Linked DNA regions of Oryctolagus cuniculus. The protein of the gene in region 1 binds, or shares a complex with, the protein of each later gene. Links are inferred from orthologs where the notes say so. Each region holds a gene or a part of one and is shown on either strand. Other genes may lie near its edges. The genes, in order: CRB1 and PALS1.

Region 1 (3,822 bases):
TCAAATACAATAAATGAAAATACTCTAAATTATCAATTAAAAATAGAGTTTCAGATTGTATTTTAAAATCCTAGTTAATTTAAGGTCGAATTGCAGAAGCGCTCTTTCTAAACCTCCACTTTCGTTAAAAGGAACTGGAATATAGACCCTGGAAATCTTAGAAAGTCGTGGTGAGCATGAATATAAACATATAGAAGAAGGTGTGGGGAGAACCCAGAAAGAGCTATGCATTTGTCAGTTTTTGTTTTCACTATTCATTTGAATGCTGTTGGAAAAGCTCATTCTTCTCACCTTGATGAAGTCAATCCTAATAATTCGGTTATTGGATATTAGATATACTTCTTTGATTTGGAAGTAAGGAAAAGACTAAATGACAGTGAAGTCAAAACTATAAGCAGGAGCTTGTTACGGAATAGATGTCACCATTCATGGTAGAATTCCATGTTAGGAGCAAACGCCTCCCTTTCACTGTAGAAGCACTCCATGGTGAGAGCCTTCTACCAGCCTTACATACTGCAGACATTTGTTTAAGGAGTTGTGGGGAACTATAAATATGACAGAAGACAAAATCTTTATTCCTGGGGCTAGTGTTGTGACATAGCAAGTAAAGCTGCCACCTGCAACACCTGCATCCCATATGGGCACTGGTTTGAGACTGGCTGCTCCACTTCCAATCCAGCTCCCTGCTAATGTACCTGGGAGAGCAATGGAAGATGGCTCAAGTGCTTAGGCCCCTGACACCCATGTGGGAGACCCAGAAGAAGTGCCTGCTTTCTGCCTTCAGTCTGGCCCAGCCCTGGCTGTGGTGGCCATTTAGGGAGTGAATTAGCAGATGGAAGATCTCTTTCTATCTCTTTCTGTGTTTCTTCCTCTCTCTAATTTTGCCTTTCAAATACATAAGCAAATCTTTTTTTTTTTTTTAATAATCATTGTTTCCAAGTAGAATACAGTGAAATTAGCCATGCAGGGCATAACTGGGAAAGGAGCCCTCAAGCAAATCACATATGTCTAGCATTACCACTAGAACAGTCTTTCCTTTTTTGTCCCATTTTTATGATATCCAGTGCTGCGTGTGTGTGTGTGTGTGTGTGTGACACTTCAAGTTACTCACTGGATTTGGCATGTTATTTCTAAGAGAAAAATTCAAAGCCTGCCATGACGCGGGTCTCTTCACAATAGTTGTGGAGTAACATCATCCATTTCAGTTTTCCTCAAACACTATTTACATTCTGCTCCCTTACACTCCTAAACTTGAGTTAGCCCTGCACTTCTGCAAGGTTATGCGTGAAAATTATATGAAAACTCCTTTTCCGATCTATTTGTTATATGTGTAATTATAACTTAGTCTTTATTTGTTTAACAGGAATACACTGTGAAGAAGACATCGACGAATGCTCTTCAAATCCTTGTCAAAATGGTGGTACTTGTGAGAACTTGCCTGGGAATTATATCTGCCGATGCCCATTTGATAATCTTTCTGGAATCTTTTATGGAGGAGAGAACTGTTCTGACGTGCTCCTGGGCTGTGCCCACCACCACTGCCGAAATAATGGCATATGCATTCCCCACTTCCAAGATGGCCAGCACGGATTCAGCTGCCTCTGTCCATCTGGCTATACAGGGTCCCTGTGTGAAATCATCACCACATTTTCGTTTGAGGGCAATGGCTTCCTGTGGGTCACAAGTGGTTCAGATCCCCCCGTGGACTCCGTGTGCACCATAGCCCTCAGGTTTCAGACTGTTCAGCCAACCACACTTCTGCTTTTCCGAGGCCACGGGGACGTGTTTGTCAAGCTGGCGCTTCTGAAAGGCTATGTTCACTTGTTAGTCCAAGTCCGTAATCAGTCCAAGGTGCTTCTGTACATTCCCCACAACACCAGCGATGGGGAGTGGCATCCCGTGGAGGCCACGTTTGCAGAGGACGTGACTCTTATCTTAAAGGACAGCTCCTGCAAAGACGAATGCATCGCTACAGCTCCATCTCCATTTCTAAGTCATCAGTCAATCTGTGCTTCACACGACTCCTTTCTGGGTGGTTTCCCAGTGGGCGCCACCAACAGGACCATCGCCCTGCTGAACATCTCTGATATAGCGCCCACACCTTCCTTTGTAGGCTGTCTCCAAGACATTAAAATCGATTTGCATCACATCACCCTGGAGAACATTGCACAGGGCTCTTCACCGAATGTCAAGGCAGGCTGTGTGAGAAAGGACTGGTGTGAAAATCAACCTTGTCAAAACAGAGGACACTGCACCAACCTGTGGCTTAGTTACCAGTGTGATTGCTACAGGCCCTACACAGGCCCCGACTGTCTGAGAGGTGAGAGAAGGCTGGGTGCCCAGGAGCGCCCTGCCGCAGAGCAGAGCAGTCACAGTAGAAACAGCCGGCCGGCTACTGTCCGTTACAAAATATAATGACCCCTCAGGACGTCCGCTGCTGGTTGCCACTGTTGAGGACAAGGAAGAGGGCAGCGATATGCATTAATTAATTTTGAGTGGATTCATAGGACATGAGTTTCACTCATGCAGAGAGCTAAATAAGCACGTAGCTCCTAACCAAATGAATTTGAAGCTTGTCAATGCTATGTACTGGCATAGTATCTTGTGCACAGTAGTTTCTCAGTAAATATTCACTTCCTTCCACTTTTTCAAGTATGTAATTCATACTTGCTCCAAAATCATGCTTAAGTTTAGTGCATTTATAAATCTTATCTTATTCACACTATCTTTTTTGGAATTGCATTGGAGAAAACGGATATTCTTCGTAGGTTTTTTCTTTCTTTTAAATATTTATTTATTTGAAAATCAGAGTTACCTAGAGAGAGAAGGAGAGGCAGAGAGAGAGAGAGAGAGGTCTTCCATCCACTGGTTCACTCCCCAGTTGGCCACAATGGCTGGAGCTGCACTAATTGGAAGCTAGGAGCCAGGAGCTTCCTCCAGGTCTCCCACACGGGTCCCAAGGACTTAGGCCATCTTCTCTTGCTTTCTCAGGCCATAGCAGAGAGCTGGATGGGAAGTGGAGCAGCCAGCTCTCGAACTGGCACCCATATGGATGCCAGCACTGCAGGCGGCCGCTTTACCTGCTACACCACAGTGCCGTCCCCCTTCTTAGGTGTTTTAAGAAAAAAAAGGATGAGGGGAGGGAGGGGAAGGAGTTAGAGAGGGAGAAGGGGAAAGAAGGAAAAGAAGGAAGAAGGGAGGGGAGGGAGGGAGAAAGGCATGAAGGAGGGAAGCAAGGGAGGGAGAGAGGAAGGAAGGGAGAAAGGAAAGAAAGAAAGATAACAACAGTAACACTTGGTAGATGCCATAAACAAGTTACCTAATTTCTCTACCTAATCACAGTGTGCAATGTACTTCAAAATCCTTAATTTTCAACAACATTTCAAAGATTGCTGTTGATAGTGAGCAATGCATACCTGTTTCTTTTAATTATTATTATCATGCACTAAAAAAATCTGTGAGGTAATTGTTACAGACTGCTTTGAAGTTGAGCTGTAATTTATTCCAAGATTTCAGAGTAAGCTGAAATAGGACAACATCTGGTAAATAGTCTTCCCTGTTTTATATGAAGTAAAATTAAAACCAGTCTTAGCCAAGCCCTGGGCCATGTTCAGATGGCTAAGAATTATTAGAAACTATTCACGGGTTTCCCCCCACGACAGCATTCATTACAAATCGTGGCCCTGTTTGACAATGAGGTATGGCATCTCGTAGCTCCATGTAATATTTTAAGTGGAGTGGCAAGTTGGTTAGTGATTTTTTTAAGGGAGAAAAGGGGAAATTATGCTGAGGCAATGTTCACTTTTTTTGAAGAAAAATTTA
Region 2 (3,822 bases), on another chromosome or scaffold:
TTTGGAAGGAAATATAAATGAAGAGTTAGCATGGTATTTTCTCATTGATTGAAAAAAGACTTTATCTTAACTATTTTGCCCTTTTCTTTCTTTTTGCTGTTAAGGAAAAAGCTTTCAACAACAAAGGGAAGCCATGAAGCATACCATAGAAGAAGATAAGGAGCCAGAAAAATCAGGTTAGATATATGTTTACCTTAGTAAGAGGTTTCTTGAGTCTTCGTCTTTAATCATGTTTAAATTTGTGTATCAGAACTTTTAAGAAATAAATTTGTGAAAAGAGTGATGTGAGAAACAAAAGTGATTTCCTTAGGACTATAAAGAATGGACCACAGGGCTGATGTGATATGCCAGGTTAAGCCACTACTTACAGTGAAGCTGCACTTCTAGTCAGCTTCTTGTTTAATGCACCTGAAAAAGCATGGAAAATGGCCGAAATGGCCCAATGATCACCTGTGTGGAGGACCCAGATGGAATTTGAGGCTCCTGGCCTCAGCCTGGGGAAAGGAACCAGCAGATAAAAGATTCATTTTTCTCTCTCTCTCACTCTTTCAAATAAAATAAATTGCTAAAAAATACAAAATTTAGATATTAAAGATTTTTTTATTATTTATTATTTATTATTATGGAAAGCTAGACTAAAAAATGATCTATGAACAGTTTAATAAGAGTAGATACACTTAAATTAATTGGGGCAAGCATTTGGCACAGCAGTTAACATGTTGCTTGAGATACCCACCTCCCATATAAAGTCCCAGCTTGACTTCTGATTCCAGCTAATGTGCACCCTGGGAGGCAGCAGACAGTAGTGACTCAAGTACTTGGGACCCTGCCACCCATGTGGAAAACAAGGATTGAATTCCTGGTTCCTGGTTTTGGCCTGGGCCAGCCCAGATGGTTGGGGCATTTGGGGAGTGAACCAGCACATGGAAGAGGGGTGTGTGTGTGTGTGTGTGTGTGTGTATCTTTACCTTTCAAATAAAATGAAAAAAAATTTTGAAAAACTTGTTAAACAATTTGAATTATTTAAAATATGTACTTTGTTCAAGAAAACATGCCATATTTATTAATTCATTTGATTGCTCAACAGGAAAACTATGGTGTGCAAAGAAAAATAAAAAGAAAAGGAAAAAGGTTTTATATAATGCCAATAAAAATGATGGTAAGTTCTACTCTCAGGTGGTGGAATTTATATCTGAAGGGGTCTGAATCTAATAATACGTGAACTGATATTTTCATGAAGTTTTATTTCTAGTCCCATTTTGCCTATTAATGGAATATGTGCTTGAGAAAATTTTTCAGTAGGAATTTTCTTTTGGAGTCCCGTGAGTAATGCAGTGTATAATTGGGGGAAAATGGTATAAACATTAGAGTACTATGTAGTATATGTGTATGTGGTATAAAATTGATGGTTTCCATTTTTTTATTATTTAAACCTGTAAAATTAACACTTGCTTCTAACAAGTTCTTTAAAAACAGATGTATTTGAAGTAAAACATAACTCACGTTACAGAGCCAATCCATTCCACAGAGCCCACTAACTGAGTGAGGCACACTCTTTAATTGACTATTAAGATTAAAAAGATTTAAAGTCATTGCTGCCCTTAAAATCAAAAGCTCTGATGACCCTGGGCTTGTATTCCCAATGACAAGTCCCCTGGACCTGACAGATGGCTATTGCCCTACCATTGGGCACCTTTTATTTAGTCAAATAGTTTCCACCACTCCCAGTTTCTTATACACTAATGAAGATAAAATGTTTACGGATGGTTGAGATATTCCACACAAAGCTAAATCTGAGATTTGAGCCACTTTAATAAGCAGCATATTTAATTCCCTTCTCAGCACATGTTTCTCTCAAAAATACCAGGTTTCTTCCAATATTTATAATATTTATAATGTGGTAACATTTTGATTTACAAATTTGGTTTGTGTATCTGTAGCTTTGCCAGTGCTCTGCACAGAACCTGTGAACAGTTGCTTTGAACACTTATTCTGGGCCAGGCTCTGCTGAGCGCTGACAAACCTAAGATGGGTCTCTGCCCTTGTGGAATCTAGTGCTGACTGGGTCTCATACATGAGGCTGCTGCGTCCCAGTCAGGTGAAGTAATAGGAGTGAGGGCAAGGCAGACTGCTGGTTGTCTGCTTTTTTTCTTGCCACTTAACAGCTCTGATTTCATCTGGATAATGGGCTTTAGGAATGTTACCCCACCCATCATGACTCTAGGATAGTGTTCCAAAATAAAGTAAATATAAATGCAGAAAGTATGAATAGCATGAGTATGACCTGTTAACAAGTTACACAACTACAGGAAAGTTTTCCAGCTTCTCTGATAGCTGGTTATAGCAGTGTGTAAATACCTGTGTCAGCTGTTGTGCTCAGCATGTACATTCTGTCTGATCCTTGAAACTATCCTCTTGAGTAGAAGTATCTGCATTGTACAAAAATGACATAATTTTTCTCATTAATTTATATAAGGGTCAATACAACTTTTTTAGCCATTCAAACAATATGAAACAAGATAAGCTGTAAAAAAATTCTCAAAAGATTAGTAGTATATTGTTAGATTCATTTTCTTAGTGTCCTGGCAAAGCTATAAGGACATGGGAAAATGCTCATGATATAGTACTACCATCTACTACCATCTTGATCCAAAAAGTTAAGTATTTTAATGATAATAAAGTGTCCATAATTGGGGGTAGGGTGAGGAGGGACAGATCTGTATATCATTATATGGCAGTAATCTAATTTGTCTGAAGAGCTAACTTTTTCTTTTCCAAAGATTATGACAATGAGGAGATCTTAACTTATGAGGAAATGTCACTTTACCATCAGCCAGCAAATAGGAAAAGACCTATCATTCTAATCGGTCCACAGAACTGTGGCCAGAATGAATTGCGTCAGAGGCTCATGAACAAAGAAAAGGACCGCTTTGCATCTGCAGTTCCTCGTAAGTTTGGATGCGCTCCCATTTTCCTGTCTACTCAATTTACCTGCACCCTCGGAACGTAACTGTGAAGGGAGATATTTCATCAAGGTTGTCAATGAAAGAGGATGTTTGTTTAACCAGATGTTTGACAATTTTTTAAAGATAGTTGTTCTTGAAAAAGACCTGGAAGAAGCTCTTGGCTCCTGGCTTCAGCCTGGCCCAGCTCACGCTGTTGCGGCCATTTGGGAGTGAACCAGCAGACAGGAAATCTTTGCCTCTCTTTGTCTATAACTCTGCCTCTCAAATATTTGTATATGTATATATGCTTTTTAAAGTGGAAGCATAAAACATATTAAGATAATTAGGGGAGAGTGATTGCCATAGAAGTTAAGGTGCCTTAGATACTCATCCTATGTCAAAGTCCCTGAGTTCAAGTTCTGGCTTTAATCCTGATTCTTCTTTTCTGCTAACGTGCAGAACCTGAGAGGCAGCAAGTGATGGTCAAGTAGCTGAAGTACCACATGGGAAACCTGGATTGACTTCCTGGCTCCAGGGCTTTTAGGGAGTGAACCAGCTAGCTGATGGGAGCTCTGTCAGTCTTTGCCTCTCTAATTAATTAATTTTTAAAAATGGAGGGCTGGTGTTGTGGCATAGCAGGTTAAGCCTCCGCCTGTGATGCTGGCATCTCAAATGGAGGTAGGTTCACGACCCAGCTGCCCCACTGTCGATTCAGCTCCCTGCTGACGTGCCTGTGAAAACAGTGGAGGATGACCCAAGTGCTTGGGCCCCTAGACTCCTATGGGAGACCTAGAAGTAGCTTTAGGATCCTAGCTTCGGCCTGGCCCAGCACTGGCTGTTGGGGCCATTTGGGGAGTGAACCAGTGGATGGAAGACC

Evidence for each region.
Region 2: the proteins of CRB1 (region 1) and PALS1 are in contact, whole or in part, in a crystal structure (PDB 4UU5), measured with the Homo sapiens proteins. The link is inferred for Oryctolagus cuniculus from reciprocal best matches to the Homo sapiens genes CRB1 and PALS1. Residues at the interface, in NP_957705.1 of Homo sapiens: Ala1401, Met1402, Glu1403, Arg1404, Leu1405, Ile1406; in NP_071919.2 of Homo sapiens: Lys261, Pro266, Leu267, Gly268, Ala269, Thr270, Val271, Arg272, Asn273, Ser281, Arg282, Val284, Val314, Asn315, Val317, Phe318, Leu321.

The regions. Positions count from the first base shown.
Region 1 is NC_091444.1:13,699,924-13,703,745, forward strand, and holds part of CRB1 (protein crumbs homolog 1), read left to right. Parts: intron 1-1,363; coding exon 1,364-2,320; intron 2,321-3,822. UniProt on the Homo sapiens protein: Plays a role in photoreceptor morphogenesis in the retina. May maintain cell polarization and adhesion.
Region 2 is NC_091451.1:13,174,586-13,178,407, forward strand, and holds part of PALS1 (protein PALS1), read left to right. Parts: intron 1-104; coding exon 105-176; intron 177-1,087; coding exon 1,088-1,159; intron 1,160-2,780; coding exon 2,781-2,948; intron 2,949-3,822. UniProt on the Homo sapiens protein: Plays a role in tight junction biogenesis and in the establishment of cell polarity in epithelial cells.